4 linked regions of the Struthio camelus genome follow. The protein of the gene in region 4 interacts with the protein of the main gene of each other region in a pairwise test. Links are inferred from orthologs where the notes say so. Each region holds a gene or a part of one and is shown on either strand. Other genes may lie near its edges.

The links.
Region 1: the proteins of CDR2 (region 4) and C4H4orf46 interact in binary tests that used the Homo sapiens proteins (3 or more experiments, as listed by UniProt). The two-hybrid records come from large-scale screens. The link is inferred for Struthio camelus from reciprocal best matches to the Homo sapiens genes CDR2 and C4orf46.
Region 2: the proteins of CDR2 (region 4) and CHIC2 interact in binary tests that used the Homo sapiens proteins (3 or more experiments, as listed by UniProt). The link is inferred for Struthio camelus from reciprocal best matches to the Homo sapiens genes CDR2 and CHIC2.
Region 3: the proteins of CDR2 (region 4) and ZGPAT interact in binary tests that used the Homo sapiens proteins (3 or more experiments, as listed by UniProt). The two-hybrid records come from large-scale screens. The link is inferred for Struthio camelus from reciprocal best matches to the Homo sapiens genes CDR2 and ZGPAT.

The regions. Positions count from the first base shown.
Region 1 is NC_090945.1:41,087,811-41,096,062, reverse strand, and holds C4H4orf46 (renal cancer differentiation gene 1 protein), read left to right. Parts: upstream 1-4,625; 5' UTR 4,626-4,688; coding exon 4,689-4,850; intron 4,851-5,078; coding exon 5,079-5,234; 3' UTR 5,235-7,544; downstream 7,545-8,252. Other genes in the region: ETFDH (electron transfer flavoprotein-ubiquinone oxidoreductase, mitochondrial), read right to left, coding at 785-1,014, 1,831-1,977, 4,064-4,097; RXFP1 (relaxin receptor 1), read right to left, coding at 7,545-7,846.
Region 2 is NC_090945.1:57,011,899-57,020,439, forward strand, and holds the start of CHIC2 (cysteine-rich hydrophobic domain-containing protein 2), read left to right. Parts: upstream 1-5,258; 5' UTR 5,259-5,370; coding exon 5,371-5,489; intron 5,490-8,541.
Region 3 is NC_090959.1:17,914,346-17,922,216, reverse strand, and holds the start of ZGPAT (zinc finger CCCH-type with G patch domain-containing protein), read left to right. Parts: upstream 1-4,427; 5' UTR 4,428-4,562; intron 4,563-4,747; 5' UTR 4,748-4,904; coding exon 4,905-5,548; intron 5,549-6,312; coding exon 6,313-6,446; intron 6,447-7,212; coding exon 7,213-7,371; intron 7,372-7,871. Other genes in the region: ARFRP1 (ADP-ribosylation factor-related protein 1), read right to left, coding at 83-153, 697-778, 1,832-1,914, 2,391-2,478, 2,874-2,966. UniProt on the Homo sapiens protein: Transcription repressor that specifically binds the 5'-GGAG[GA]A[GA]A-3' consensus sequence. Represses transcription by recruiting the chromatin multiprotein complex NuRD to target promoters.
Region 4 is NC_090956.1:9,339,665-9,347,348, reverse strand, and holds the start of CDR2 (cerebellar degeneration-related protein 2), read right to left. Parts: upstream 3,479-7,684; coding exon 3,016-3,478; intron 1-3,015. Other genes in the region: transmembrane protein 180-like, read left to right, coding at 6,874-7,026.

The sequences.
Region 1 (8,252 bases), on a different chromosome or scaffold from region 4:
TAGCTGTCAGCACTCCCCAAGACAAAAAAAAACAGTAGTTAAATATGTAAAATACGTAAAATGTAAAATAGTATGTAAAATAACGATCAGGCAAGAATGACCACAGCTACTGAGGAAACAAAACTGTATAAAGTCCTCCAAGTTTGTACATATGCTTGTACTACACCAATATTCCAGAGATTTCTAAAGAAGGCAACTCAACTTGCAGGTCACGTTCAGCCCACTAAAACAACAGTCCATCTAGTCAACAGCCCACCTCCTGCAGCTCCTAGGTGATATTAAGAGGGCTGGCTGCAAGTCAGATGGGTTGTTCTCGCAGAGATGACAGCTTGCTGCCTGTTACCCTCTCTCCTACAAGCATGTTAGGCTTCCATCATATCACCATGTCTGCACATAAATCAGTGTATTGTACATCACTCTCTGAGCACATGCAGAACGACTGCCTAGAAGTAGCAAGTTTGACATTGCAAAGAAACCATTATCTTATGGCTTGTGCACGGGAGTTGGATTCTGCACAAATGCAGCAAATCTAGTGCATCCCAGGATGCACTAGACGTACTTTGTATGTGCACTACCCTATAAAGAAAAGCAAAGGCCACAGTGTATCTGTTTAGACATAAAAAATTAGCATTGATGCGCTAAAGGAAAACAGACTAAAAACAAGACAGAGCGTTTTTCTGGTAAGTCACCACATTTTAAATGGAACGAAGGTAGAAAAGAATGAGTTGGATACAGAGTTTATTACCTTAGAGATGAACTGCAATGTTTACAGGTTCATACATACCCCCCGCTCCTTCCAGTCCGGAAAAAGTTCTTCTAAGGACCGTGGCTCAAGACAAGCACCAGAAAGTGTATGTGCACCAATCTGAGCGGCTTTTTCCACCAGACAAACACGTACTTCTTTGCCATGCTCAGTGGCTAACTGTTTGAGTCGAATAGCTGCAGAAAGACCCGCAGGGCCTCCTCCGACTATGACAACATCAGCTTCCTCTGCAAATCTTTCCATGTTTACTCCTTCAATAGGACAACAGATGATAAAACAAATGGATCTCCAGTTTCTCCTGCCCTCTCTCTCACTAAATCTTGCTTTGCGATACTGCTACCAGGTAACGCAGTAACATCACCTTGCATAAAAGAAGGCCAAATATTCAACAGAATGCTCACTTCAGTACTTGGAAGAGGGTAGAAGGACATTAGTATTCATTTTGTCAATGTACAATCAACTCTTTGTAAGTTGTAAGAAGATATACCATAAAAACATATTCAATCTGTATACACTGTAGGTAAGTATCAGCAATGTTAAAAATAAGAGCCTGGTTGCCTAGCTGTATCAAAGATACTTGGTGAAACTCTAGGAAGAGAGAAAGAAAAGAAAAAAAATCTTTAGTCAGAACAAGTTATTTTATTTTACTCTAGTTAATCAGCTACTGTTATGGAATTGAAGACATTAAAATTGCTGAATATATAGACTGGAATGGCCAGAGATATATATTCCTCTTATTTTGTCACAAACTTTCATGGCGAGAGCAACTGAAAAATCCAAAAAATACAGACCTGACTGAATTCAATCTTGTTGTGATAGTCACCCAAGTAAAAAGAATTTATAAACTTTTTTGACGTAACTAGAATCCAGTCAAATCTGACCTGATTTTATAGTGCTCAACACAATCGTTGTGAGATAGCAACCGTAAAATTTCATTTGGGATATTAGTACTGTACTTAACAGAATATAATTTCTGTAAAAAGAAAAAATCGGCAACACACTTCAGTGTTGTTAAAATTGAGTAATAACAATAAAAAGATGCTTTTAAAACACATGTTTTCACTTACCTTCCCATCGTTTGTCTTTGTCCCGAGGATGAATAGTATAATGCGTAGTTATACGAGGCACAGAGGTAGTAGATGCACATGCTGCAATATGCAGTGATGGAAGGCAGTCTCTCTTTAACAACTTTAAAACATGAAAACACAGACGTGCTGCAAAAACAAAAAACAGATTCACCAAATCATTAGCTTTCCAAAGTTTTCTATATTTCAGAGACACAATGGCACAACAAATACGACAGCCCCTTAAAAGGCTGCCAGGTCAAATGAAGATGAGGAAGCGTATAAATAGATTTTTAGTTATTCAGCAACTAGGACTGTGCATGTGTAATTTTAAATTTAAAAAATAAATAAAAAATAGAGAGCTTTCCCTTTAAGTGAATAGCACTCAAGGAATAAGTACACCAGCCAACCAATTCTGACAGCTGGCATACCACAGCATGCACGTACAAAGGAAAAAGACATTCTAAGTTCCTACGTCATTTTGAACATCAAAAGATTTATTGAAGACATCATTAAAAAGGACTAAACAACTGTAGAGAGAGGACATACAAGTTCATCCCTTTTGCAATCTCAACACATGTTCAGACACACAGCTTGGGCTGCTGATTCTAAGCAGCTGATCTAAAATAAATGTCACCATCTACAGTAAAAGCCAAGACTTAAACAAATATACTTTAGCAAGGCTAGAAATAGATACAGGTAATAAAGACACGCAATCTTTACCTTTGCTACAGAAACATTAATAGTTGCCACAACAAATTATGCATTCTCTTAAGTCTCAAATAAGCAAAATAAGACAAAAGGGCATGTTACATGCTTGTTCTAATTTCCGTCTTTCACAAAAAAAAAATCATGTTTTGGAGCTGTATGTGATCTGTTCTCAGAGAGCTAGTAAGTGTAGCACCAAAACTAGTTATAGTTACAAGATTTGTCAAGTAACGCACACTAAGTGGTATTTTCCCTTCCATTATGGATTCCCTTAGTCTAATTTCAGGGCAGAGAGGGAGAATACTATATTTGAAACACAGTATTTCTGCAAAACCACATAAGCAAAACCACCAACATACTGATGTTCGCTGATGTGTTTCATTGCCAACGGTGATTAACAAGGCCACCACAAACATCCTCCATCATAATTACATAGTGATAGTCGGGGTACTGGTCTCCATATGCAAGGTAATAATAAACGGACATAGATAATACTTTTAGGTTAACAGCAATTTTGCACATAACAAACATAACATAAACATTATTACTATAAGTAACAAGTAATTCTTATCACGACTCACAAGTACCCTTCACCTGCACAGCTAGGTAAAGCTGTGTAAGCTGGACAGCTTCAAATAATGGATCTGAGAACAAGCAATGTGTTTTATACGTAGGATAATAACTACACCAATATACATTAAAACACAATACCATAACTTCATTTCTGAGCTATTTTATTTGAGCAAGACCGATAGCACTATGAGTTACACAGTACTGCTGCTTGGCAAAAATAAAAAGTGAAATTGACTTAGGAATATGTTTAATAAACACAAAGGCAGGTCCAAACTCTGCAACGGCACCTGAACAGACATACTCTTTTCACCCAACGACCTGGAACCTGGGCGACTGTGTTACTGCAGAGCTGAGAGCTTACGGACTTGGCAGTTCGCATACGTGCAGCAATGAACAGTGAGTACGAAGCGGTGCAAACAATCGCTAAGAAAAGAGCAAAAACTCGCTCCCACGAAGTTCTTTGACAACCGCCGCCAAGGCATTACTTCTACGATTATTACCTCGATAACGACGTACATCCAATTACCTTACCCTTTAAAACACGCTACACCTAGCAAAGATCGCTGCAAAACAGACAGCTCTTTACAGCGCCGCGTTACATTTTAACACCAGACACAGCACGTTAACAAAATACACCGGTAGCCCAACCCTTGCAGGTGCTTACTGCGTAGTTTCACCCTCGGAAGCACATTTAAACCAGCAGAGACCGCAGAGACCGCTCCGACGAGGAGGGAGCAGCTGCTGCGGGACAGCCGCCCCCCAGCGCCCCCGAAACCTCCCCACAGGCGATGCCGGTGGGGCGCCCCCCACCCCCGCGCAGGCGCCGCGGCCCGGAGCGGCCGGTGGCGCCGCGGCCGCGCCGACCTTTGCCCTAATTCCGCGCCAGCTGCCGCCCCCGCCCCAGGTCGCCGTGCCCCGCCGCGGCCCGCTGCCCCGCCGCGAGCCGGCACGTTACCTCGGCTGGAGGACGGGCAGACAGGCGGCAGCATGACGGCGGCAGCTCTCCACTCTCCCCTCAGCGCTCGCACCTCCTCTCCACCGCGCCCACCCCACCCCGGCTCCCCTCGGCCCCGCCGCGCCTGCGCACTCGGCTGCCTGCCGGGCGACACACGCCCCGTCCCGCCCCACCCGCGCTGCCAGGACTACAGCTCCCAGGGCTCCCCGCGCGAGGCGCCGGCGGGACATACCACGCATGCGCCTGGCCACCACGGCCCGCGGAGGAACGCTTGCCCTGGTCTGATATTTAAACGCAGGCACATGGAGATGGCGACGCGCTGGTTTACACATTTTTTGCGCCGTGTGCGCTACAAACAAGACCAAGCGCTAGCTAACAACCCAGGCGGGCACCACGGGAAGAAAGACTACCGTTCCCGGCGTGCAGCGCGGCGCCCATAATTCCAAGCGGCGCTGTGCAGCACCGCCCCGTTCCCCCGTCGCACGCCCTGCCTGGTCTCGCCGCAGTGCCTGCCGGGATACCCGCGAGCCTTTCCCCGGAGCCGTTGGGGCGGGGCGGGGCGGGGCGGGGCGAGCGTTGCAGCGCGCGGAGCCGTTGGGCGGGCCGGGCGGCAGCGGCGCGGAGCATGGCCGAGGCAGGACCGCTGCAGCCCACAGCGCTCCCGGAGGGCCCGCCCGCCGCCGGGCCCAGGAGGAGCCGCAGCTGGAGCAGGGGGGCGCGGCCGCCGGAGCAGCTCGCTGGCGACCCGCAGGAGCTGCTGGAGGAGGTGGAGATGCAGATCGGCGACGTGAGTGACGCCGCGGCGGGAAGCGCTGGGAAGGGGGCCCGGGCGGCGGTAACGGCGGCTCCGGTCCCTGCAGCCCGGCCTCCTCGCTCCTGCCCGGCTCCGGCCGAGGCCTCCCCGCTGCCGCGGCACTGGGAAAGCGGGGCGCCAGCGAGTTGTCAAGCCGGGAGCCCTTTCCGGGTGCGTCTCGGCGCGTATTGCTGACCCCCAACCTCTCGCTCTGTCCTCTAGGCTGCCTTCTCGCTGACAAAGATCCTGGAGGCGACGTCTGCTGTATCAGCCCAGGTGGAAGAGCTTGCGACCAAATGTTCTGAAAATGCCAGATTTCTTAAGACATGGCGGGACCTGCTGAAGGAGGGGTATGATTCCCTGAAACCCAGCGAGTAGCTGGGCCGTCATGGAAAAAGTGGGAACTTCTGCTGCCTGATGAGGGATGTTGAGAGGGGAGTCATCCCACAGTATTTACCTTTTGCTGACCGTGCCTTGTGACAGTAGAGCTTGATTGGCATCATACCACGTTGTCTGCTTATATTAGACTTGAATGTGTTACTGCACACTGTGCCTAGTTTTTTTTTTAAAACAACTTTTTTAGCGATTTCACATGGTGAGTTTATTTTTTCATCAACAACTCATTTTGAGCTAGAAGAGAGTTCTTTGGAAAATACTTGTATGTGTACCAAAACTATGTATAAGTTTCTGAGTAAAATAACTTTGTTCAGGGGAGTTATCAGTTGTAACTCTTGGACTCCTCCTTTGCAGCTCAGGTGATCTCATATGTGAAAGAACTTTCATTTTTTGCTAATATAATGGAGACAAAGTTAACTTGTAAGGTACATCTAGAACTCACCAGCTGTGGGGGGGAGTGGTAGCCCATGAAAATATAGTCAGCCATCCTTTTAAGAACTTTGACTGTGCTAGAAGAAGCCCTCTTAGCTCCAGGGAAACTTGTCAAACTAATTTTTCTTTGTGCATGCTTTTTCTTCAGGTTGAGGATGGGATAATATGGCTAGTGAAGTCTTATTTAAGAGCTATAGATAAGCCACCCTATCCCAAATCTTACTATTTTAGGCAGTATTGCAATATATTTCTATAAAGATGCATTTGTTTTACAAACAGTTTGATAATTGGAAACATGTTACGCCAGACTTTTTGTAATAAATACAAAGTGCCTTATGCATTGACCTTAGATATATGTTTGGTAGAAATTTAACTGTGTTGCTTACTGATAGGATGGATTATTTGGAATTATTAATACAAGCTTCCTTCAGTTAGAATAAGTGTTTGTAAACTGTATTCTCTCATCTCTGGGGCAGCAGCTTGTTCTGTTTTTGGCCTATTGTATGTCCTGCCTCAAGCAGTAACTAATTAATTAATCTAGTTTGTACTATAAACAGGACCTTTTGGTCTGAAAGATCACTAATCTGTAATAAATAGTTGCATTGAAACTTCTGTATCCCTTACCAGAGTAATGTGAAAAAATAATGCTGAAATGCAAGGGGAAGCTTCAGGAGAATGTGGCTGTACCGTGACTTGTAGCAAGCCTAATTGTCACTGGTAGGAGGATTTTTAAAAGACAAACCGTAGTTTTGTTATCAAAAGAATAAAGATGTTACACCAAATTAGGAACTAACTAATATTCTTAAGGTACTGGTAGGAAACAAAAAAATACTGAATACATCCATAATCAACTTCAAGTGAAAACAGAAGTAGTGGTAAGGACAGGTGTCCTTAACATTCCTTATAAAAAGCAGTTATTGTCATTGAGAATGCTGAGCTTCTATGATAATTAAAAGGGCAATCCACATTGCAGGAATTCACTGAGCTATTTTTTCCAGTACCCTAAACAACTTGGAAAAGAAGTCACTTTGATCAGCAGATCATCCTTTATTGAAATAAAATATACAGTAGTGGAAACAAGATGCTCAACAAATTTTGATTTCAAGATGATCCAAAATTCTGTAAACAGTTAAAGTGTGAGTCACACTAAGTTTTAATTCAGCTTCTTACATACTTAAGAAGTTAAGTGCAAATACTAGAAGTAACTTTTAACTTTCTTTTAAAGAACTTCAAGATCATCAATGCAGAAGAGGCATTTCTTTTTCTTGGGCTGCTAGGCCATTGGACTGAGTGTGGTATTAGAGGAGAACTAAGGAAGTCATAGTAATTGGTAGTGGAAAATGTTCTTTTCAGTAAATAAGTGAATAAATTGCCTCCGTTTGTGTCCTTATACCTTCTTCTATGTACAAAGATGATTGTTTTAGGTGAGGTAAAATGATTTTACCTTGTAACACTGGGGAGTACAGTACTACTCAAGTGCTCAATGATTGCATTCCCTAAATTATTTTAACCATAATGCATTCAATTTGATGCACAAGGTGATTAAAACTTAGATGGCATGACAACTATTAAGACTGATAGGCCTCTATTTGTCAGTCTCTCACTTGGTTTGAGAGGTGGAGGAGGAATAAAAAGAGACTTAACTTTTCATCCTGATCAAGGATGAGTTGTCAAAAGGTCAGGAACTGTTGCAAGACGAAAAAATTATTTTTGTATCAGTTCTCCCTGCAAGTAGACACATTGATCTACTTTCTTCCTGCTTTGACTGCTGGTTCTGGTGAGTCAGTGTGTCCCCTCCCTTGTTATTTTCCTCATTGCTATAAAGCAGTAAATCCACGTATGTGAAGGTTCATAATGTGTTTATGTGTATGAATTTAGTCTGGTTGACTGTGTAGTCACTGATGCCTCAGAGGAGTCTGTACAAAGAACAGGCTTCGATAGCTTTGGTGTGATTTCATGCATTGGCCACATCTCTATCCAAATGAATGATGGACCATATGTTTTTTGACTGCCTTTGCTTCTTTTGGATCTTCTTTGTCTGTAATTATACCAGACCTGATGAATCATTTCTTTGAAAGGTCGTGTAGTCAGAGTGTAGAGAAGAGGATTCAAAGCACTGTTTATGGGTAGTATAAAAATCACCACCCAAGAAGTTATGGTACCTTAAGGAGGGGAAGAAAAAAAAAAGGAAGCTGTAATAGGTAGTAGTGTTTGTACCCGTTAGTCAATACAAGCACTTCATGCTGATGCGATGCAGCTTCCTTTTAAAAGCCGTAGTCCAGAAGTTTGTGGGGGTCATGCTGAGGTCACATTGCAACAGTGTCATGACACAGTCACAACCCACTCCTCCTGCTGTTTCATAGGTACTGCCGTCCTCCATTCCAAGGACTCCCTGCAAATCCTGACAATTTTCACTTTCCCAGTAGTTCCATTTGTCTCCCAATTTTTTTTGTTACTTTTGTAACAGGGTTCCCTCTTTTTGTTCTGGTTGAGCTGCATTTACTTGCCCCCACATCTGTTTGTCTGCTCTTTGTTCCCTATCTCTTCCTCTGATCTCCATTCCCCATC
Region 2 (8,541 bases), on a different chromosome or scaffold from region 4:
AGAAAGAGAGGAAGGATATAGAAAGGAAAGGAAAAGAAACCAATCAGGCAGCAAAAGAGAAAGGGAAGTGGAATAAGGAGCCACAGAAAGAGAAACGCAATGATTTAAAGTCCCTTTCAGATTACTGTACACAGTCCTAACAGTGTAACTATTAGGACAGCCAGTACCTTAGTCAGTTGTGCACGGCACCAGTTCTCTCCTAGTGAACAGCTAGGCACAGAAGACAAATGGTTTGGGAAGGAGGTTCCTATCTGCAACAACAGCAAAGCACCCTTCAAGCTGGACTCTTATTTAGCTGTCAACAGAGTATACAGTCACGACAAGACTGGCGTTGCTTATGTTATTCCCAGAGAAAAGGACAATGCATTGTAAATAGGAGAGGGGTCTCAGCATTTGGGGTATATATCAAAAAGTCACAAGTGAATGCTGTGATGTGAAAGCCACATACAATTTGTTTTTGGGGTGGCTCAAGGCAAATGTCACTCAGGAGTGAGTGGCTGGTGGGGAGTACACTGCATGCCAATGAGATGTCAGCAGTGGAGGCAAGTGACTACTTGCATGACACTCAAGAGACAGATGAGAGACACCAATGGTAAGATTATCCTCATCTTCTGCAGTGTGAGGTGGGATACCAGCTGTACAAAATTGGTAGTTTATTTTGTACTGCTAAGGGTGATCCAATACTGGTAAGACCAGTATTGAAGGTGTTTGGCAAATGAGACACAGATTTTGGGAAAAGAAAGAGGGATCTCATGGTCAAAGCAGTTAATTTCTGCCAGAATAACGGGCTGCTAAGTGTGCCCATGTGAGATGATGAAAACGTTGCTCAAACTGAATTTTTCATAGGTGGTTGCTACCTTTTAGTGGTTGTCCCAGAGGTCTGACACGAAAAAGTACCACGCACTCGCAACTGCAATCAAAGTCAGTCACAGTGCTTTGAGCATATTGAGTGCTACAGAACACAAAGTATGTTGAAACATCCTGGGCATCTCAAACTTAGCACTTCAATGTCTTAGCTCTTCATCTGTCAAAATTTATCAAATACACAACAGCTGGAAATAGCAAACTATTGAACAGCTATTTGTTAGGCAAGTAATGTACGCCTTAGGCAATGAATTAACCAAGGGTCCTGGGACTGTCTTTTACCTCGTCTTAGCTCAAACGCATCTTAACCAAGCTTGTTATGCTGTGCAACGCTGGTATCTCAGACCTCAAACAAGATAGCTGAGCCTGTGCATCACTTCAAGGACTCAGATTATGCTCTCCAGATAAACCCACCCCTTCAGAGTTATTGCCAAGGTCAACACAGTGCTGCACAGCACTATGTAGTTCTAGCCTGAGAAATCACATGACAATGTCAAGAAAGAAAGACTGACATCTTGCTCTCCCAACAACTTCCTTTCACTAATGTATGAGATAGGAGTGGAAAGAGAAAGACAGGAAACATTTATTACAAGAATAGTAATAAAACTTTGGCGGCTACTAATGAAGCTGAATTGTTCTGAAAATCTGAAGTATTCATTTTACATAACAGGCCTTGGAATAATTTAGTATGCACCTAATTTACCTGCATGTGCATTTACAGTCCACTTGCCTCTCTGCATCTTCCAAAGTATGCAGAAGAAATCTTTGACCCTTCCTCAGTGGCTGTTCTCTGGAATACAGACCACTGCTAAGGCATATATAAGGAAGGGCAGAGACCCTACCTTGATGTACTTACAATCTAAATTAGTAAATAAATAATGCTAGGCCATTGTTTAAAGAAAGACGGGTGAGACAATGAGAAAAAGTGAGGAAGTAAAATATACAGATCTTAGGGAAGTGTAGCTGGGAAAGCAATTTCCGTGTATAGATTTGCTTCTAATATTTCTTACCACATATTTTTTTTATTTCCTGAAATAACCAAGCACAGCAAGAGTAATAGCATATATCTGAAACTGCTTTTACTGCAAGGGGATCCAGAAAGAGCAGGTTTTTTAATCCTTTGGTTTAAAAAACACAAGGCTATAAGGACCATTGCACATGACAAGATTAGGTTGCAGTGTGTTTATAAGAAAAGTTGCCCTTTTGTCTAAGAACAAGTAACCAGTCTATGGAGTCTTGAAAATTGCCATTTTTCTTGGAAGAAAAACTGAAATTTGAACCACGTACTTCTTTGATGCATGACTATTTATTTATACAGAATGCACATAAAAATCTGTCTTGGTGAACACAGAAGAAATTAAGTAGCAGGAGGTAGTTTCTTTGCTCATAATCACAAGCCCTTTTCTAGCTAGGTTTCTACCCAAAACCATCTCTCACTTTTTTCCTAGGGGTCCCAAAAGTGCTTCTGTGGGAAGTGGAAGTGTCTCACACACTTCTCAGTATGCTTCTGCAGTGCTGCTGCTTCTTGTCTATCACATATGCTCAAAAAATGTGCTGACAACTTTTCCCACGTAAGCACCTTCATCCACACTGCTCACATTTATCAAGCTACTAAACGAACTTGATTGTTTTTACAGTTATCCTGAATGAAGCACAGTTGTATATCCAAAAGTTTCAAGAGGCTTCAGCAACCAGCCCCACCATCATGTAATAAAATAATCAAGAATGACAGTGGAACTTGTGTCATGGCTGTACTTATCTTTTGGATAGTAGGCCTCAAGAAAAGAAAATACTTCCCAGGGATAAGCAGAAATGCATGAAGTATACCAGATGTAATCCATTTTAATGAAAGACAAGTAGCAATTAGCTTTTCTCCGTAAGACTAGCTTTAATGGCAACTTTTTGCTCAAAAGATATTATATTCATCTACAGGGATCCTTTGCTGCAATCTTTTTCTGTCCCTACCATCATGACGCCACTCACTTTCTACAATTCCGTCTTTTTGGGTAGACAAGATGTCTCTATTTTGTAATATAAAAAACACAGGGATGTATCACAACCTTTGTTTATACTTTATGAAGTAACAGTGGTTTCACCTCATGTTTCTTTCTGTATAGGCCAACATTAAGAGAAACTGGTATCAACGACCTCTGAGCAAAACTATCCCAGAGGAACAGCAACAGAGGACTCAGATATAGTTTACTTGAATTATACCAAGTTCATTTTCACTACGGTATGTGTTACAGCAGCACCTAGTCAAGACAGAAGTCCTAATTGTCTAGTCATCAAGTAATTACAGGGACCGTCCTGGATATCACAGAGTTTAAATATCATGCCATAGTTCACAGCTTCAGTCAAAATTTTGCTATTTCTTCTTTGGCCATCCTTTAGCAATTATACTTCTCTCGAGTTTGTACACACAAATGGAAAACAGAAAACATAAACCATTCCCAAAGAGCAGCCTTAGGCAGGACTCAAACCAACCAAAGCAAGTGCTGGTCCAATAGCTCTGATTATCTTGCTGCTAATGTGAATCTGTCATTTTAAATTAAACAAGTTACCAAATTTGTATGTAGAGCAAGTTAGCACAAGGAGGCAAAGCTTCACTGAAATCAGTGGGTTTGTCAGTATTAAATTTGGTCCATTTTCTCAATTTCAGGATGGTTAGGCAGAAGCAATGAGTCATCAGTCCCACAAACTCAAATTTCTATGTGAGACACACATGCGAGAACAGTAATTAGGCAAAAAATATGTAAGCATACTATTATGAAAGCAAACTATTACTCAGGGGAATTCAGGGTTATTCTGTAGAATTTCATTATTTAGGAGATGAAGGCTGTTAGAAGTAGGTCATGACACAGAAATACTTAGTTTTCCAGAGTGACAGTAAAAGATGCTGCTTTTTTTTCCTTTACGGCAAAGATAGAAGATTGTAGAATAGATAGTATACAAAGATAGTAGACTATCTCACAACAATACTGTTTCTACCCTGGTTTTACATAAAGCAGTAAGAACCGGGCCTTGACTCCATTACATATTTGTATAGACTTTATTCCTGAGAAATACACAACTAACTTCTGTATGAGTGATAGAGATTAAAAGGCAACATAGCCTTTCAGAGATTAAGCTGACGAGTGTATATACTCTAACAATATATGAAAAAAGAACTAAAGGTTACAGAGGAAAAAAAAGATCTAGTAGTGAATAATACGAGAAAGAAGCTATTAGAATAAAGACATACACAGTAAAATACTAAGAAAAGGGAAGTAGAATTCTCTTCAGAGTGCCATCAGGCAGACCTGAAAAAGTTTATTCATGCAAGCAACTAAACACTCATGCAAAGCAGGTCCAGCTCCAAACAGATTCCTGGAAAGTTTTCCATACCCCCATAATTGCAATATCAATACAAAACATCTAAATACTTCGGCAATTACATGATCCACCGGTTCACTCAAATAAAAAGACTATTCTCCCTTTTTTAAATGGTGTCCTGCTGCTGCTAAATCCCACATCAGCACTGCCTTCCTCGGTTGTCACAACAGCCAACCGCCTGTTGCTAAGGTGGTTAAGCTCTCACTCCTGTTTTCCAGCCTTTGCGTTAGCTTTCAGTTATGACAAATACCGGAACTACAGAGAGAAAACAAGAGTCTGGTTCTTTTTTAGGGTTTTTTGATTTGCTTTTACATTTATAGCCCTAAAAGGGGAATGACTGTTCCTTTGGAATTACACTGTTTGTCTGTTTTGCTCCCTGTGCAAATAAAGGTCTCAGTGGGGCGTTTTCCCTGGAAATCAGGAGAGGCTGCAGGTGGGCTGGCCGAGCCGGACACTGACAGCACCCAGGAACACACAAACGTTTGGCACCAGCCCTCACTCAGCTCAACCAGCCTTTGAGGACCACTTCCCTCACATCCCTGCAAGCTTAGCAGGACACCACAGAGGCCTCTCAGCGCCACTGTGCAACCCCCTCAGTTAAAAGCAGGCCCAACTCCCTCCAATTTCTTTTCACGGACGCCCCAGAAGAGCTACAAAGGAGGGGAAAGAATATACCCGGCGAAAACAATCCCCCCTCGCCCAAGAGGCATGTCTACGCGGCCACCAGAGCCGGAGACAGCGAGGACAGCGCCCACCCCACAGCCCAACCGCCAACGGTCCCCCAAGCGCCAACGGTCCGCTCAAGCGCCCGCGCCGCGCAGGCGCGCTGCCCGCGCGCTGCCCCGCGCGGCCGGGGGGCGTGGCGGGGGCGGGCGGCGGCGGCGGCCGGATGTTGTTGTTGTTGTTCCTGCCCCGCCCTCCCCTGCCCTCCCCTCCCCTCCCCCCGCGGAGGGTGACGGGCGCTTCCTCGCCCGCCGCCGCCGCTCGCCCTGCCGCGGCTCCCGCTCCGCCGCTCGCCCCCGGCCCCGGCGCGTCCCCGCCGGCCCCCTCCTTCCGGCCTCGGCGGCCGGCTCCGTCACGCCGCGCCGCGCTGCCCCGGCCCCTCTGCCTCTCCGCGGGCGCCCGGGCCCGGCCATGGCGGACTTCGACGAGATCTACGAGGAGGAGGAGGACGAGGAGCGGGCGCTGGAGGAGCAACTCCTGAAGTACTCGCCCGACCCGGTGGTGGTGCGCGGCTCCGGCCATGTCACCGTGTAAGGGCCGCGCCGGGGCCTGCGCGGCCGGGGCCGGGCGGCGGAGGAGGCCGGGGAAGGAGCGGGGGCGGGTGGCGAGCTGGGCCGCGGGCGGCGACCGGGGCAGCCGGAGCGCCGAGCTGACGCCGAAAAGTTGGGGCAAGTCGGGGAGGGGTGTTGGGGGTCGGGCCGGCCCTGCGCCCCCCTCGGCCCTTCTGCCCCGGTGCCCGCGTTGCCCCGCGCCGTGGGGCTGCGGGCGGGCTCTCCTCGGTGCCGCCCGGGGCTCGCTCTGGAGCGCAAACCTCCAGCGAGGTGATGAGGAAACAACGCTGGCTTGGGCTGTGACTAACAGAGGAATGTAAAGTATTTGCTCGAAATGATGAGCTGTCAGGAAGTAGAGTACATCGTGTGTGTGTGTTTATACATGTGAATATATATATATAATATATATAAATGGTATGTGTCTGTACATGACCGGCCTGTGCTGTCGCTTAGGGTTGTTTATATCTCAGTTACTCAGGCCCATTTAACATGTGGCAACTAATACAACTCTGAAGACTTTTTACAATAAAAAGGAGTGTGCGAGTTGAATAGGTACATCTAAAACGATGTTAAGATAAACGTTGTGTCAGTAAGTTTAACATGGGAGTTGCCTTGAGTTTTGGTTAGTGAACATTTGGTGTTTCCAAGGAGGTAGCAGCAAGGGACAAGTGAGTTAATGTAGTCTTTCTTGAGAACTTAATAAGTCAGGGTATTTTTCCTGCAGTCAGTTCTGTTGGGATCTCTGTACTTAAGTGTAGCAGTTGTCAGTTATGATGAACAGTTTCAGAGGCTAGAATATCAGCCTGGTGACACAAAGCACTCATGCAAGCTTCCTTTTTTATATTCACTGTAGAGCAGGATTCAACTTGTGACAAACAGACAAACACATAGAAGTTGAAGGTATCCTATTCTGTCCTCCGGATTCACATGAACTATACTGGTTGTGGGATACAGATCTGTTCAGAAATCTGAAGTTAAATTTAGACTAGGAACTTTCTAACCTTGCTAATTTAATATTTGGTTGGCATTATGAAATACCAGCTACCAGGCAGTACAGTTTATCTGGTTAAGAATAGGGAATAAGACATGGTATGATGCTGAGAGAGGTTTGGAGGGTTGGAAGGATGTTGAATGGAGAGGAACCTGCATAAAGTAACAGAAGCAGGTAGCTGAACTGTCAAACATAATGATTTTGTACTGTAGTTTATGGAGATCAGACGTTGCTACCATCCAGTAGCTGTTTGACTTCTTTGAAAGTAAACCTGTAGCCTTACTCAGTTTCTGCTGAGCGGATCAAAAACGTAGTTAGATAGTTGTCTTGTTGGCAATCAAATAAGTGTAAAGAACTGAAATGGAGGCAAACACTAATTTCTTCTCCAGTCCTTAGAGGTAACCCATGCGAGGCAAGATCAAGGCCCATTAGTGGAAGCACAAGGAAGCTTGCGTAGCCTATCCATGCCTAGTAAGGAGCTTGTAGTTGCTTCATTAATTATTCAGTAATGTTCATTTGGTTGTTACTTTTAAGATCTTCCTCAAAATATTAGTTCTTTAGCTTTTGGACAAGCAATGAAATATGAACATGTGCTTCCAAGATTGTGTATTTGATCTTCATCTACTCTATTGTGCCAGCCACTTTTACCTTTGCGAAGCTTCTGATTTTTTCGTCATTGGTTAAGTGGCTTATTAAATTTAGATCACTTTCAGAACACTCACTAGATGAATTTAAGGAATAGGTCAAATCCTATATATAGAATTAATTTGTCTTGCTTGGTGTAAAAACATGTATGCATTTTTTAAGGTCTTAAAAAATTATCAGTGGTAAAGTAAAGCAAATATCAAATCCAGTAACAATACCAGATCTCTCCCTGACTCTGCGGTTTAAAGAGCTGCTGACTGCCTCTGCTGCATATATATTTAAACATAAGCTGCTTCTTCATAATCTATTGTCATATCCTCTCTGATCTTGCACAGAAGTCATAATGTTGAGTTTGAAATGTGTCATTTCCTCAACTGCAGAAAAAGCGTTTACTGTTACTTGATTGCATCCAACAGACAGTGGAAGTGTGTGAGAGTCCTTTCTAAGCCTAGTAGTTAAAAGCAGTCAAGGGAATGCAGGTAAATACTATCCAAATAGAATATGTGAAGACCTCTTTCCAGGATGTGGGGCTATTTTTTGCGCTGAGAGCTAGATTCTTAAAGTCACTGTTTTAGAATTGTTTGGCATGTTCAAACTTCTTTTTTTTTTTTAAACACAGTTTTTCAAATATTCAGGTAAACAGTTTTCACACCAGCAGACTTTAGATAGCTTGGTACACAGGAATAATATTTGAAGTGGTCGCTGGTTACTTGAGGTTATCTCTTTTAATGGCAAGAACCTTAAAACTTGAGAAACTGTAAAACATTATTTACGTTCCTTAATTGAAAATCCAAGGTATTTTGGACTTATTTGTAAAAACATGTTTGTGCGGAAAGAGACATATGTGCTGGGTTTGAAATTGCTAATAGGATATTATGGTAGGCTGTGTGGTTGTATTTTCAGAGGCTGTTTTCCTGGGCTTTTCTGGTTTTGACCAGTTGAGGTGTGTCTTGTATATACCAGACTGTTAGGTACTAAAGTTGGGTTTATGAGTGTTTTGCGGTACCAGCGTGATGCAGAGCAGTCATGATGTACTAGTAAACACCCTTCTGTGCAGTTATCAGCTTAGTGCATTACGTGCAATGTAAAGTAACTGTTTGGAGGGAAAAAAAATCACAAAATACATGTTCACCCAAGACAGTTCCTTTATTATTAACTTAAGTCTGCTTATGTATTTTTGCAGCTTATGTTGAATCGAGGACATATGAGTGAAAACAGGACTGTGGAAGAGTTATGGATGGACAGTGTTAAGGATTGATGGAATATATATCTTTTCTAAGGGCTGTGAACATGCAGAACTAAAGGGCCAAGTTGAGAGCAATGGGAAAATGGTTTAGTCCCCATTAGATAGGACGAAGGGGAAGAGGATTGTTTGTGTGTCGGTTTTATGAGTTA
Region 3 (7,871 bases), on a different chromosome or scaffold from region 4:
AAATTTGACATGAATAGACACAGCCCACCTTTCAAAGGCGTATTTGCTCGTTGAATAACTACATCTTCTGCAATTATCTTACCTCTACATCCTGCTTGTTAGCTAACACCAGAATAGGAACCCCTTCCAGAGCTTCGCTAGTGACCATCTTCTCTATAAAGCACAAAAATAAAAAACGAGAGAGGTTTAGCTAATTCTAGAAGACCAAGTTGTGCAAATGCTTGACACAAATTATCTGAACATAGGGAGGAAGCAAGAGGCACTTCCTTGTGCTAGTTTGATTTGATCCAAACTTTCAGGACTGCATTCATCACAGTATCTTTTTTCAGATCAAGTTCAAACTTTTATTTTGATCAACAAGCACTTTACTAAGAATTAACTAAATACAGAATAAGAAATGAAAGTTCTGAAAGAATTAACATAAGCAGAAAAAGAGCCTCAAGGTCTTTATAGGCAATGAAACTGACGATTATCTTACGGACAAGACAGACCATACTCTTAAATAGCTCACTGATTTCACTGCTTTCACCTCAGAAACGCAGCCACGTATCATGCAAAGGTTCAAAAGCGCTACAGACATGCCATCAACAGAACACAGCTTATACTTCAAGTACACAGGAAGAGACACGATTGTAATGAAAGAACTGTGACACAATACATCAGGAAACCACAGTACTGATAACACAGCATACTCACCAAACGCTCTTTTAGATTCCGAGAGCCTCTCCTCATCAGTGGAGTCAATAACATAGATCACTCCATGAGACTCGGCATAATACTGGAATGGTAACAGATATTAGTGTACTTAACGGCTAAGACTATCTCCTCCTCATACCCTTTTTTTTATCCGTATGGAAGAGAGAACCAGTTGGAGCTAGCTGTTTCCATAATATTTGTCTGGAGAGAAGAATGGTGGCATGCAAAATGCATTGCCTGTCCTATTTGCAGGTCTGTTGAATAAAATAGGTGAAGAAGTTTATCTGCGTACTCCTTTTCTAACCCAAGTGATTGCAGGCAGAATTTGATGTTTTTTAAGCCTGATAAGACATACTACTCAACTGTGCAGTTGAAGTGATTGATAACAGGATAGCAGGAATGCATGTCTTGATCAAACAATGAAGTCAAGGGCACAGGTAGCATGCTTGGTTGGCCTGCGAGCATATTGCTTTAATATTCTTTGCCGGACATCTGGATGCTGCATACTGTGCTCAGGGTTTCTAATAACGCTGCAGTTAACGTACCTACAAAACACCATGCAGCTGGGCAGACTGTACCCTCTGCTCGACAAGAACAGATAATACAGAGGGAGACAAGTGTTGATATTGGTATATACTTTGCTTCTGTGCGGTACTGTAAAAGCCTTGGAAGTGCTGAGCCCAGAAACACATCTCAGCTCTTACCTTCCTGCTTTCATCAATGTTCTCCTTCCCTTGCCCTGATTTGCTGTACAAAACAGCCCAGAGAACTTGAAATCATATTTCATTTTAGTTAGAACTAGACTGTAGCTTTTATTTGAGCTAGCCAAGATCTCTTTTAAAGTCCCTCTGTAACTTTGGGTAAGGAAGTTACCACTGATATGACCTTATTACATACAAACGATAAAACTGGCACAGTCCTCCCACAGAGGCTGACAATTAGTTTCTGTAAACAATAATGCAGATGTTAAGCATCATCTTTGCAAATCTTGCACGGATAAAATTGAATCTCTGGAAAAGTATTAATGCTAAATACCTGGGTTACCAGTAAGCCTGTATGAGTACTAAATGATCATATTTCTCCAATTGTGAAAGAGGTATCAGAACATTTATAAAAGAAAAATTACTTCCCCAACCTTGTCCCAAAGAGACTGTAGCTCCTCCTGCCCTCCAAGATCCCAGAACATCAGTCGAGTTTTGCCAACATCAATAGTACCAACTAGAGGGAAAGAAAAATTCAATCCAATGAAAACTGACTGCGTGCTCTAAAGGATCACGCCTACACAATGCCCCTAAGTAGGGATGGAACAGTCTTCTACAGGAGCAAATCACATATAGTACTACTTATAACAAGAGAACAATACCTTAGAAAATAGTGGCCATAAGATTGGGAAGAGTCACATCAGCATAAACAGGATGAGAATCAGCCCGTGAACTCCAAAGAAACTTAGTTTAACTTCTAAGCACAGCACTGAAAGGTGACACACAACTCTTAAAACTTCAGGGTTTTTTCTTCAACAGCTAAGCAAGCCAATTTATTCTCTCAGAAGAAGTATATAGGGAGCGAGGAGATAAGATCCCTATTTCCAGGAACCACTTTGCCCTTGTCAATTCTTCTTAAACATTTCAAGGAAGAAATAACTGTTCTCTAACTTTACAGGAAAGGTGGAAAATTTTCCAGGTGGATTTACTTACTGTTTAAGCCTACAGTGGTTGTGATTTTGGACAAACTCATCCCTTTGTAGTTTTTGTTAAATCGAGTTTTAGTTTGTTCAAGGAAGGTCTGAAAAGGAATAAGAAAGAGTAACTACTCTCAAACATTGTACTGGCATGTATCCAGTAATCTTAACAAAAACCTGCCTTTTCCTTACGGCAGAATCTTGTCCCAGTAGCTACTGCCCTCTCTAACCTTGGAACAAACCACTCCTCTTGTTCCCTATTTCAGCAAAGAAAGAAGAGATCCCAGGTGATTACGGGATTATCAAAGTCTCAGCGTAAGCTTTCAGGGATATAGCTAAGTTTAAATACAGGGAGAGGAGTTGACTCTTGGGGGCAATATCCCTAAAATATCCTGTCACGAGTTAGACTGACCTGCCTCTTGGAAGTTTTGCCTTTGGAGAATAGGAATGTTTACAATTGCACGTGCCCTCCACGTAATTGGTAATTAACAGCACTTACTGTTTTACCAGCATTGTCCAAACCAAGGATCAAGACGCAGTACTCATCCCTCTGGAACATGTATTTATAGAGTCCAGATAACAGAGTATACATCCTGCTCCTGCAACAAATGCCAAGAAATTATTAATAAATGGGTCACTCCCAGAAGTCTTTCATTCCACAATGCAAGTTTTTCCAACATCAGAGAAGTAAGTGGCATTATTCTTTTATCAGTAACTCTCATATTTAGATAACTCCAGGACAAATCATAGATCCAAGTCCACGGGAGAAAAAAAAAAAAAATCAAGTTTTCAAATGCATATAAGTAGGGGGTCATCTTATGTAGAGCTTATCCCTGTTTATGCACATGGCCAAATTTTGATAGTGCATATCATCCAGTGCAAACCCACTACTCATTTGAAAATGCTCCTGTCTGTTCCAAGGCTTAAAGGGGATCTGAATGTTCTTGAAAGTCTTTCAGAGTACATACATGGTCCACAGAATGAAATCAATTGCATACAAATACACAGAATGGGTATTTGGAGCAAGAACACGCTCTATACGACTGTATCATTGGCTCTTTAATGGTCAAACTGACAGAGTATCTTACTTTTAAAGGCTTGTAAAAAAGACTAGCTATATTAACGTATGCCTTCTCCAGCAACAGCCTTCTGTTCCACGATTCACAATTCAAGTATTTTATCATCTTGCAATACCATGAAGAGAAGACCGGTGACTAGCCAAAAGCACAAGACCGAAAATAAGACTAAGTGACAGCCCCTGGCCATGCACGTACTCTTTTGTTGGATTTGCACAAACAAGGCAGAGAAGATTTGCTAAGATGCAGGAAGTCTCGGTACCAAGCACCACAGCCGGCTCCCTTAGCATTACAACCACCCTTCAGTTTAAACAGACCGGGGGAACCTCAAGGCAACAACTCTGAGAAGCCGCTGCCGTGCAGCGAGCGTGCAGATAAATAATCGTTTTGAAATGCAATAACGTTGCCTGAGGGGTAGAAAAAAAGAAAAAAAAAAAAAAAGACTTCCAGCCTCAGCACGGCAGGTTTCCCAGGCTGGACCGCAGCCAGGGCCAGGCCGGGAGGCCCGACGCGGCCGGCGAGCACGGACCCTTCCCCTCCGGCTGCGCAAGAGGAGCCGGAACCGGCCCCGGCCTCGGCCCCCGCGGCCCTTACGGCCGCCACGGGCCCGGCGCGGCCTCGGGCCAGGACAGGCCTCCCTCCACCGGGGCCCGGCCCGAGCCCCGTCGCAGCCGGGCCTAGCAGCGCCTCGCAGAGCTGCCATCAGACACGGCAGGGTCCCCGCTCCTCCCCCCCACCCCGAGCGCTGAGCACGGAGCCCGAGACCCGCGGCCCCTCACCGGACACCGGAGACACCTCCCGGCCCCCCGCGCCTCAGCGCTCCCCTTCGGCACCGGCCGCCGGCTTCCCCCCCCCCCCCCTTCCGCGCGGCACCCTGGGAAATGTAGTTCTCGCCCCGCGGTCAGAGCGGCGCGACACCCCTCAGGAGGACTGCGACTCCCAGAATGCCTAGCGCCCTCACGGCCACAGCCTGCGCCGGCGCGGTAGGGGAAGTCTCCTAGCCGAAACGGCGTAACGCGTCGGCTAGAGGGGCCGGAAGTGGGGTGGCGTGGAGGACCGGAAGTCGGCGGGGTGTCATGGCGGTGCCCCGGGAGGAAGGGGAGAGCTGGGGGGTGAGTGAGGCGGGCGGGCGGGCGGCCGGCCGGGGCCGGCGGCGGGCGGCGGGCGGCGGTGGCGGCGCTGATGGCCGTGGCTCTGGGCCAGCGCTGAGCGCCCGGGCCGGGCTGACCCGGGCCAGGCGCCCTTGCCGCAGGGCGGCGGCCGGCGGTAACGCGCCGTTCAATGTCCCTCGCTGCAGGCGCCTCGTCGGGCCTCCTCAGGGGGAAGCAGCAGGACGGCGGGCTAGGCGGTGGCGGCTGCGGACGAAGACCTGCTGATCGCTTTACGTGACCTGCTTGAATGTGTTCTGCGTTCCCAGAAAGGACACGGTTAGAGACGCCTTCGTTGTGCTGATAATGGACGAGGAGAGTCTGGAGGCAGCCATTCACACCTACAGCGCCCAGCTGCAGCAAGTAGAGCTGGCCTTAGGGGCCGGCCTCGACCCGTCCCAGCAAACGGACTTGGTTCAGTTGCAGGAAGACTTAAAGCAGCTGATAGAGCTGACTGAATCTAGCCTGGTGTCTATTAAAAAAAGCAAACTTCTTGCAACCTTAGATACAAACGCATCCTCCTCCTCTCCTGCAGGTCCCCTAGAGCAGGAGGCCAACCTAGACAGCTCTGCCCAAGATGAGGAATATGCTGCTTTTAAGGAAGCCATTGGTGAGCTTGGAACTGAGGACAAACCTTCAGCTGCTGATCATGAGATATCATCAAAGAGAGATGAAGAAACTGATGAGAAAAGTGAATCTAAGTACAGTGAAGAGGAGGATGAGTCTGACAGAGAGGAAGAGGAGGAGGAATTGAGTGGGATGAAGGTTAAAGCCCCGTACTACAGTGCTTGGGGGACCCTGGAGTACCATAATGCCATGATTGTGGGCACAGAATACTTAGAAGATGGCAGTGCAGGAGTCAGAGTTCTGTATCTCTATCCAACTCACAAGTCTTTGAAGCCGTGTCCATTCTTCTTGGATGACAAGTGCAGATTTAAAGAGAACTGTCGGTAAAAAAGGGATGGGAGGGAGTTTGTGGCCTTCTTGTTGCTAAAGGCCTTGGCATGCAAGGGAAGAGACTGCTCTAAAAGTGCTGTGTTTGGCTTTTGTACTAGATGGAATTTTGCCAAATATATGTAATTTTTTCTGTTTTTAAAATATGACGTGGTAAATTGGCATCAAACAGTTTGACTGCTTTCTTCAGGTAACGCAGAGGTGAAATGGAAATTCCCATGACAAAATGCAGATGTTTTACCTACTCCATTGCGTAGCTAAACTAATAATTGATTAAGATGTTAAAAAAAGAAAAGTTAGTCTGTAGATAGCACATACATACAGGTTACAGAGAGAAATTGTGGTGTCTCCATCTTAGGAGATTTTCAAAACTTAACTAGATAAGGCCCTGAGCAACCTGATCTGTCAATGAGGCCAGTCCTGCTTCAAGCACTTCCAGTGTGGACTAGAGACCTACGTTTCTGTGTGATCCTCTTTATCGAAGGATCTGTGAAATTTTTTACTGGGTACATCACTAGCAAAAAAAGCTTAATGCTCTGGGATAGAATGCGTTGTCAGATGGCACAAATAATATCTTTAAGATGAAAACTGAAGACTGTCTTGTGTAGTCGAAATAGCGTGTGATAAGACTTTGATAATTATCAGCGAAGATTCAGTAGTGCTGATAACTTGTCACATTTTCTTTCGTGAGGGAAGGAATTTTTATTTAAACCCTTTTCAAGTGGTGTGGATATAGTTCTTCTTTCACCGTTCCTGGCAGGTTTTCTCACGGGCAAGTGGTGTCTGTGGAAGAGCTTCAGCCGTTTCAGGAGCCCGATCTGAGCACTCTGGAGGTGGGCTCGGCCTGCCTGGCAAAACACAGTGATGGAATATGGTATACTGCAAAAATAACTGGTGAGTCTTGTTTTAGTGTGTTTTGCCAGGCTGCTGCATGGAGGATGAACACGGACACTTCAGTGAAATAAAAAAGTTGATTGTTTTGGTTGATGATAGAAAAAAGCTGACCAGGTTTTTACATGCCTAAACTGAACGTTTTGAAATAGCTGAGGAAAATATTCTGAGTTTTGTAGGGCTTGGGATGGGAAGAGGCTAGAAAACAGGAGAACATTAGACAAGAAGGCAACCCAGGAGCAGGAATGTGAGGTTAAAAAAAACTTCGTAGTCATTAGCTGAACTGGTAGGGGAGAGACAGGTATTGCAGGAACTTGCATGAATACTGGAATTGCAATAATCTGTTCTTGTTTAAAGAAAAGCCAGGGGAGCTGGCCTTGCCTGTCAGTTGCTGATACAGGCTCCTCTGTGTCCTGGACAGGGTAGGGGTTTATTCCCGCTTTCCTGCTTTCTTTGACTGTTGCTAGGTCTGAAGGAACAAATCTGCCTTCTCTTTAATTCAATTTCTCAGCAGCCCATCTTTCATCACTTTTAGAAATAGACCTCTAAGTATCAACACAGAAACTGGAAATAGCTCTTCATTGCAGCATATAATTCTCCCTTCTAGACCGAAATCTCAAGCAAAAAAGAATTCAGAGGTTTTTTTTTTTAAACACATGTTCCCTGGGCCTTCCTCCTCTCCCACTGAAGGTAACTGTTCTGTAGAAAGCCCTCTTACCCGTTGCGTATTGCACACTTGAACTCCTGTCCATTGCTTTTCCTTCTGTAGATATCGACAGTGGCTACTACACTGTGAAGTTTGATTCCCTGCTGCTAAAGGAAGCCGTTGTAGAAGGAGATGGTATCATTCCTCCATTACGAAGTGAAGATGGCGCCTCCTCTGTTGAATCTGATGAAGACAGTGTTGATGATTCTGGCTACGCTAAAGGTAGAGAGTGGGGAGGGCCTAAGCAAAAACGGCCTGTGATCTAGGCTACCTCCTCTCTGGGACCTAATGAGTTACTCTCTTGGCTTGCGGCTTTCATCACAAGTGTCTCATTTCTGATGAAGGAGTAGATAATCTTTTTATATGTTGCTGGAAGATAGCAGAGAACATTACATATCTGTTATGTTACAATTGCTAATTACAGTCTTTGTTTTATGCGAATTACTTTCTTGGGCTAATGAAGGTTGGAGGTGTCTATGAGAACTCCTAACAAATGAAAGTAGAGGGTGTAACTTACAGGTGGGTTCCAAGCTGTGAGTGTGAGGGTGTGGGGGTTTTTTTTGTTTGTTTGTTTTTTTTTTGTTTTTTGTTAATGCGACTGGCTGGGTTGAACTCATAAATAAAACGGAAGACTTCCTAGTCTCTCTGAGAACTTCATGTAGCTCCATGACACTAGAATACAAGATCTCAGTAACTGCGAGTGTTTGGTCCTCCCAGTGCCT
Region 4 (7,684 bases):
CGTGAACAATAGAATTCATGTCATTGTACTTACACACTCATTCTGTTCATTAGAAGGGCAGAAGCACAAGTGAGTTGTTATGGGAGAAGCATGCTGTTTTGTAATTAAGGCAATTTGTTTCTGAGAGGGAGAAGACAAGCTAAAGAGCTCAGGAGCATGCAGTAAAACTCGAACTCCTGTCCTTAGAGGAAGCAAGGACTGAAACAATCTGACCTGTTCTAAAATGAAGAATTTGCTTTGTATTCATTTTTCTACATTAAGTACCTATATACCCCAGTGAAGTCAGTGCAAACTGAAAGTGTCCAGTAGTTTTTTTTTTTTTTTTAAACTCTCAGGCTATTAATGTATGAATTAGTGATTTGCTTCTTCTGATCTTAAATAAACCACAGAATTGTTGTGTGCCTACGTTTAGTCTTTGAGTTCACGTAGAGTGAAATTTGGCCATTTAAAGCATAGCACAACTAGGCATTGCCAAGGAGAGTGCACAAGATGCATTTTTTCTTTTGAAACTGCAAATTTTAAAAGTCAGGCATAGAATATATCATCTGTTCTCCAGATACAGAAGGAAAAAGTTAACTTACACCTCTCTAAGAGTTGCTGTACCATATTAGAAGCACACTGCATTTTCTGTTGCAAACTTCAGTAAACTAACAGCTATGTGTTGAAGTCGCATAACAGACACCCAGGTGCCTTTGTTCTTCACCATGAAGATACAGTTTGCATTCTTAAAAGCCTCTGTGCTGCACGTAGGTGCAAATTTTAAGAGCTTGATTTTAGTAAATCAGTCCTACTCCTCGTAGTCAACTGTTCCATCTGAAATCCCCAAATCAAAACAAGATTTGGATGATATGCCCATGGTGTTAAACAGCCATCATTCATCAACGCTCCTCCACATTCTCTACCGACAGCGTTACTATAATTGGGAAAGAAAGATTAAAACAGTACCAAGATGCTTCTCTTCCACTTTTTCATGACTCCCCTAACAAAATGATTCGGAGAACTCTCAATGCAAAGTAATCCTATTCTTTCCAATAGCAGAAGGCATTGGTAGTGTAAGATACATAAGTCAGTCTGTTGAAGTTCACTTAAGTGTAGAAGTAAGCCCTTATTTTACTGAGCTATTCCTCACTCTGTGTTCAGATAACCCACTGTTTTGTTGATATTAAAGTGAAAAACAGCAAGATGTAAACGAGCAGCCATAAGAGAATTCTTTCTCAAAGGTCAGCATACCGCAGCAAAATATGACCTTACAGGAGGAGGGATGGCTGTTCCCATCCTTAGAGAACGCCAGGAGTATTCCATTTTCAGGAACAAAATGCCAGAAAAGCCCATTGTCAAGGGAAAAGCTTCCAGCATATACAAAGACTGTCAAAAGTTCGGCCAAAACCCTCCCCGAATTTTAGATTTCAAAGACGGACAGGGACTACAGGCTTGTTTGGAGGTGGCTTTTATATGCTTAACACTGTAGATTTCCTCACAAACATACTCTTCAGTTTTTAAATGTGCACTGATTAAGTTGTGAAAAGCGTAGAGACACCTTGATAAGCATTCTTGCTACTCTGTGCAGAGACGTCAGTACTGCGTACTTTCAGCACGATGAAGAGCATCTTTCAAACTCCAGGAGCGTAGCATAAAGAACACTTCAAAGACATTCCCTTAAGTCGTCATCTTTGCGTTTTAACTTGCCCTTCAGTTCGTTTTTCTCCTTTCCCTTTTGGCAAGGCTATTAGTCACTTCCGTCTAGGCTTGTAAGGAGATAATCCTCAGAAAAAGACTGAATGTTGATAGAAAATTAATTAACTAACCCTCAAAAGGGACGAACTTCTAGAATGGAATACTGCCTCTTACAAGCGCAAATGGTGATTATTTCACTCACTTTATTATTAAAATGAATTAAAGGAGCGTAAATAAGGCAAGTAGTCACTATGCATTACACTGAAGTCTGTTCGTAGGTCTTCTTTCTACTCAATAAATAACTGACATAGTAAACATCGCTAAATCACACCTTCAGATTTTCAGCTCTTCCCTTCAGCAGCAAACTATTGTTGCAGAATCTTATTTAAATCAATTGGTGTATAAACCATAGCCAGGGAAACATCAGTTTTGAGCAAAGAGCACCTAAACAGAGCTTCCAAAGTTAGCTACGTTACAGTCAAAACATACAATTAGAGACCTATTCCCGTCTCGGGAAGTTTCCGCTGTTGTTTGATCTCAGTGTGAGAACTGCTCAACCGGAGCGAGCTTTAAAAAGTATCTTTCTTTATGGTTGAGAGTACAATAGCGCCCACCAACCCCAAGAATCAGCCTGAACTTCAGCGCAAGAGCCAAAAGCGTAGGTCTGGAGCAGGTCTGAAGGAAGCCACGCCAGGGCTCCGAGCTGGCCACTCCAACTTACCTCAGGATTTAAAAAAAATAATAATAATACAGAGGAAAAAAGAGGTAGAACTAAGTAAATACCAGTTCTAAAGAGGGCTAAGCCCAGCTGCGGGTCTGGCACCCGGCGTCCGTGGCAGACTCGCAGCCCGAGCGGACCTGCCGCCTGCCTGCGACCTTCCTCCCGCCGCGGCGGAGCGGCACGCCGCCCGGGCGCTCGGACGCGAAATGGCGCTTTTCTTAGGATTTCCCACCACCCCCCCCCCCACCCCGTCCTCAAGAGGATTTTTGGTAGGAGACGGGCAAGTAAGCGAGGGCAGCGGCGGTCAGCAGGTGCCGCGGCGCGCCCCTCGGCCCGGCCCGGTGCAGCCCCGCCGGCCGCGCCCGCCGCCGAGGGAGGACGGGCGGGCGGGAAGGGGGCGGCCGCGCTCCCGCCCCGTCGAACAAAGACGGCCGCGGGCTTCACCGCTGCCGGGGCGCCGGGGGACGCCGCGCTCCCGCCGGCCGCGAGGCGGCTCGAGCTCCGCTCCCGCCGCCGCCCCTCGCCGGCGCCTTCGGCCCCTCACGCCCTTCCCGCCGCGCCCGCCCCTCGCCGGGGTCGGCGCCCGCCGCCGCCCTGCGCCTCGCCGCCGCCCGCCTCACCTTGCTGCAGGTCCTGCTGGTCGTACCAGGGCTCATCCTCGCGGATCTCGAACTCCTCCACCAGGCTGTCGGCCAGCATCGCGCCCCTTCCCCTGCCGGCGCCGCCGGAGGACGGCGATGGGGACGAGGCGGGGCAGGGCGGGGCGGCGGCGCTGGCGCTAACGAGCCCCCTCGCGCCCAGCGACAGCGGAGCGAGGCAGAGCGAGCCGGCAGCCGCGCCGCGCCGCTCCTTAAAAGCCGCCTCCGGCCATTGCCGAGCGTTTCCGGACTTTGCCGAACCGCTCCCCCTTCTGGCCGGGCTGCGCGGAGCCGCCGGCAGCAACGTGGCAGCTACGCCCGGCCGGCCGGCCGGCCGGCCGCCCACCGCCTCCCCGCGATTCAAACGGAACGGCCTGACCTCCCCCGCGGGCAGCCAATGGGGAGCCGCTCGCCGGGCGGATCGAAAGGAGCGTGGGCCAATCATCAGGCGAATACGGATCGAACCGCCAGTGAGAATGGGGAGGAGGTGGGCCTAAGTTGATGATGCCCCGCCCCGGGAGCGGGCTACGCAGCCTCCCGTCGGAGGAGGTCGGTTAGACCCTGTGGAAGGGGCGGCGGCGGCGCCGCCGCCGCGGAGGGGGTTAACGGCGGGGGGAGCGCTCTGTGGCGTTCTCCGGGGTGGGGTCCCGGGAGGAGCGGGGCTGGCACGGCCGGGGGTGGGTCAGGCGGGGCGGGGCCGGGCGTAGGGGAGGTGCCGGTCGCCCCGCACGGGGGTCCCCGGGGCGCGCCGTGGGAAGCGCCCGCGATGCCCTTCTCCCCCCCCCCCCCAGTTGCAGCGGGTGTCCCGCCGGCAAACGGCCCTCCGCCCCGCGCCTCCTGCCCTTGCAAGGGGGAGGGAGCCGCCCAGCGGAAAGCCGCCCAGCGGAAAGTCCCGGTTTTCACAGAGAAACAGCCCCGGTTCCAGCCCGGCAGGTTTCCGAGCGCGGCGGCCAGGTGCAGCCCCGCGGCCTGTGAGGGCGGCGGCGCCCCTGCGGCTGCCGCAGCCTTCGGCTGGGGACGAGGAAAGCCCTGACTCTCCTTAGCTCTGCTTCAGCGCGGCTCGAGTCACGGAGGAGAGAGGAGGGAGGCGTTTGTGAGCAGCCCGTTGGCCGGGGCTGCGGGAGGGCGTCGCGGCGGGGCAGGGCGGCGGAGGCCCGCGGCCCTGCCCGCTCCCTCCTCCTGGCGCCGGGCGCTGGGTTTCTGTGAGAGATTCCCGAAATTGGTTCGCCCTCTCTGAGTCACAGAATGTCAGCGCTTTGCTCTTCAGCGTGTTCAACATAAAGGCTGGCTCTTGGGAAGAGGGAGGGGATGGTCGTGCGTGATCCCCCGGCTGTACAATTAAAAAGAGCACGTCTGTTGGGAGAGGAAGTGTGGCACCTCAACTTCTAATTGAGCCTGTTTCATAAACAAAGTACAGGACCAGATGTGCCAATTAGTGTAAATCGTTGTGTCAGGTCCTGTGCGTTGCAGTTAGTCATGGCACTCGAGGCCTGTTTGTCCCTTGTGAGAAGGATTTTGTGAAAGAAATACTACTTCACAATTTTCTGAAGCTGAGGAGACCTTTTTTTTATCTGTGTGTAGGAAGGAACTGAGTCAAATGTGATTGGAAGAAGGAAAAATTTGAAGTACTAGTTTGCAGGTAAAGCTAGCGCGAAGCACGTTTCTTCTTGGTGCTCGTGGAATTTGAGGGAGGCGAGGGGCCCACAATTCCTGTTGGGAAACCCGTGCTGTCTTGCACAAGGAAATACGTGCGAAATGCCTACTTTTCCAAGTGCCCTAGTATCTGCTACACCAATCTGCTACTTAAATACTACATTAAGTGTAGTTGTGAAGGCTTGAATACGCCCTTCATTTTAAAATGCGGCGCTTGTCAGTAGCACGCTTCTATAATGACGCTCACAATTTATAGTATTATACTTCTAAAATAAACATTTTAAATGGGGATCGTTTCAATAACCTTATTTTCCATTTTAGGTTTCTCGGTAATAGTTTATGAAACAGAACTTGTTACAAAAATGCAAAATTTCATCCCTTGGACATGGAAATACTGCTATAGCCATAGCTCCATGAAAAATAACTTTGAAAACATATATCACTGTCATTCTCAAGTATATACAAATTCAGTCATGTGCTTAAAAAAAAAAAAAAAGAAAAGGTTGGCCTTAGAGGGAAAAAAAAAAACTTTGATCAAGTTGTTTTTCAGCTTGATTTTTTTTCCTTACTTGTAAAGAGGAGTTATTTCCTCTTTGCTTATTGTTTCATAGTTGAGCATCTTAAATAGAGGTACAAAAATACACCCTCGTTTTACCGCTCTTAAAATACCTCACTTTCTGTGTTGGAGGGAATGGAAGAACTGCTGTTCCATATTCTGCCTTAGCCAGAATAGACAATTTTCCAGTCCCCTGCTTTGTCTGTTGCCTGGCCCTCACCTGGTGATGAAGAATTTACTGTTTTCCTCACAGCAGCCTGTCTTCAGCCACTTGGTGAACCACAGGCAGCAGGAAGGTTCGAAACAGCCGTGCTTTTCATTTCCTGTTTCTTTCATGATCATTTTATGAGGAGTTCAAGGAATTGCTAATAGATTTGTTTATCAAGCTGAACAATCAAATATTCAAACCGTGTATTTTGATGAATATTTGAAAAATAGCTTTTAGGATAAAATTGTTAGTATAGCGCACAAGAGTGAAGTGTGGACCATTGATGGGACACGGGCTGCAAAGTTCGGAGTTAGTGTCCTTAATTAAGGTTGAGATTTGAACCTGAAGTAATAGCCGAATTTATGGCAGACAGTTTCTTTTGAACAAATATACAGATGAATAAAGGCTCAGTTAAGGACAGAGTATCTAAGAGAAGTATTGGCGTGTTGGGATTAGAGAATCAAATCTGGTCAAGGACCATAAAGGTACTCATTGCTCTGCTTTAAAAGGTAGAGGTTCTCCAGAACCTCTAGCTATTTTCATTGGAGGGTTTATACTAAACATACTTCAGCTAAATGCTAGATATGTGGAAAAAGCCAACATGTTACAAAATTGTTGGCTGAAGATCTGTTTGCTATATTAAGGAACTATATATCCTTGGGCTGAATCTGTTATTTGGATATACTCCAAATCCTGTGTTACTCTATATGAGTTACTTTCTGGATTTTATTTACACAAGTTCTCTTCCAGTACGAAAATGTTTCTTAAAAGGTATTTTGATTGCTTTAAGTAAGTTTCATTAGTTTATTAGCTGAAAATATTGCTTCCATGACTTGGGCTCCTTTTTGTTAACTAGTAACATTAGAAAATAGGAAGACAAAGCTTTGAATTCATTTTAAAATAAATGTTCATCTAAGCGCATGCTGAATTTGACATTCATAACAATGGAATACACAGGAATATGAATTGAGTCACTTCATTCCTACCCAGTTCTTTGTAATTGTAGAACTACGTAGCTAGCAGGAAGGATGTAAAATGTACGCAGTTGCTTTGAACTCTACCTCAAGATTAGTGCTTGCAGTAGCAGACTTTTGTGTTGGGTCTGTGCACCAGTTGCTTTATGTGCTCTTGACATTTTGTCTACTTGTTCTTTTGTTTTTTAAGGACTGATTATATTGGGAAATGCCATGCTTAATTTTTACACCTGTTCAGTTTTGTGCTCAGTGTCTCGTACCTCAGTAAAATGTGTTGCGCGTTTAACAAAAAAGTGACTGAGGATGGGGAAATTCTCATCCAAGACACTAGTTTCGCTTCTCTGAAACAAGCAAATCTCCCATGTCTTTTTGCTTTGGAAAATGTTTCTACCAACGATTGTAATTCTTCTTTTGTAACTAGAGAAAGAAGAGACTTGCACAATTTGGAAATGAAGTTTGTTTGGGGAATTCATCCTAATGCACTGGCATATTCCATGACTACATTAGGTGCTGGAATGATGAACAGTATCTTTAATTTCTACTACGTTAAGCTTTTCCTAAACCAATACAAAATTTCAGAAGTAGCGTTTCATCAAGCACAGGTATTGTACAGCGGAATATTTTGATTTCTGTGTTGTGCTCTGTGTCTGTATTGGCATATCAAAGTTATTTTTATTAATGAATTCCTTTTGAGTTTATTGCAAATAGTTATACAAAAATTCCATGTTAAATTTAGTTAATGCATGAGCAATTGAAGGCATACTTAAAGTGCATTGTTTACAGTCTTTAAATTAAAAAATCTCTGGACTTTCATTGCTGGAAAGATTTTTACCTTTCATAACTTGAAGTAATGTTCTAAACTAATCTTGCACTTCAGCTTCATGGAGACCTTCGACTTCAGTGCTTTCCTATGGACTATTTAAGTACTTAAATACTGCCTTTTTTTCTGCAAGTTCCTACTCATGTGAGCAACTTGAGCACCTAAATGATCTCCTGAATATGATGGCCAACTCATGCTTTAAATTACTTGCTGTAAGAGCTTGTGAGATGAAAGCCCAGATACATAAGCTTTTGAGGGAGTGAGGTCTTGGAGACAGGGGTTTATCTCAACTGGAGTTGGGCACCTTCCTGCCTATTCGGTTTGTTTTTCAAAGCTACTCGTTTACTGTCAACATCTAAATACCTTTGGAAATGTGTTCCTGAGTCCATTTTGACCTGGCAAGCTTCCCTCTCTTTTTATTCTTTGAATAGAGATTTATT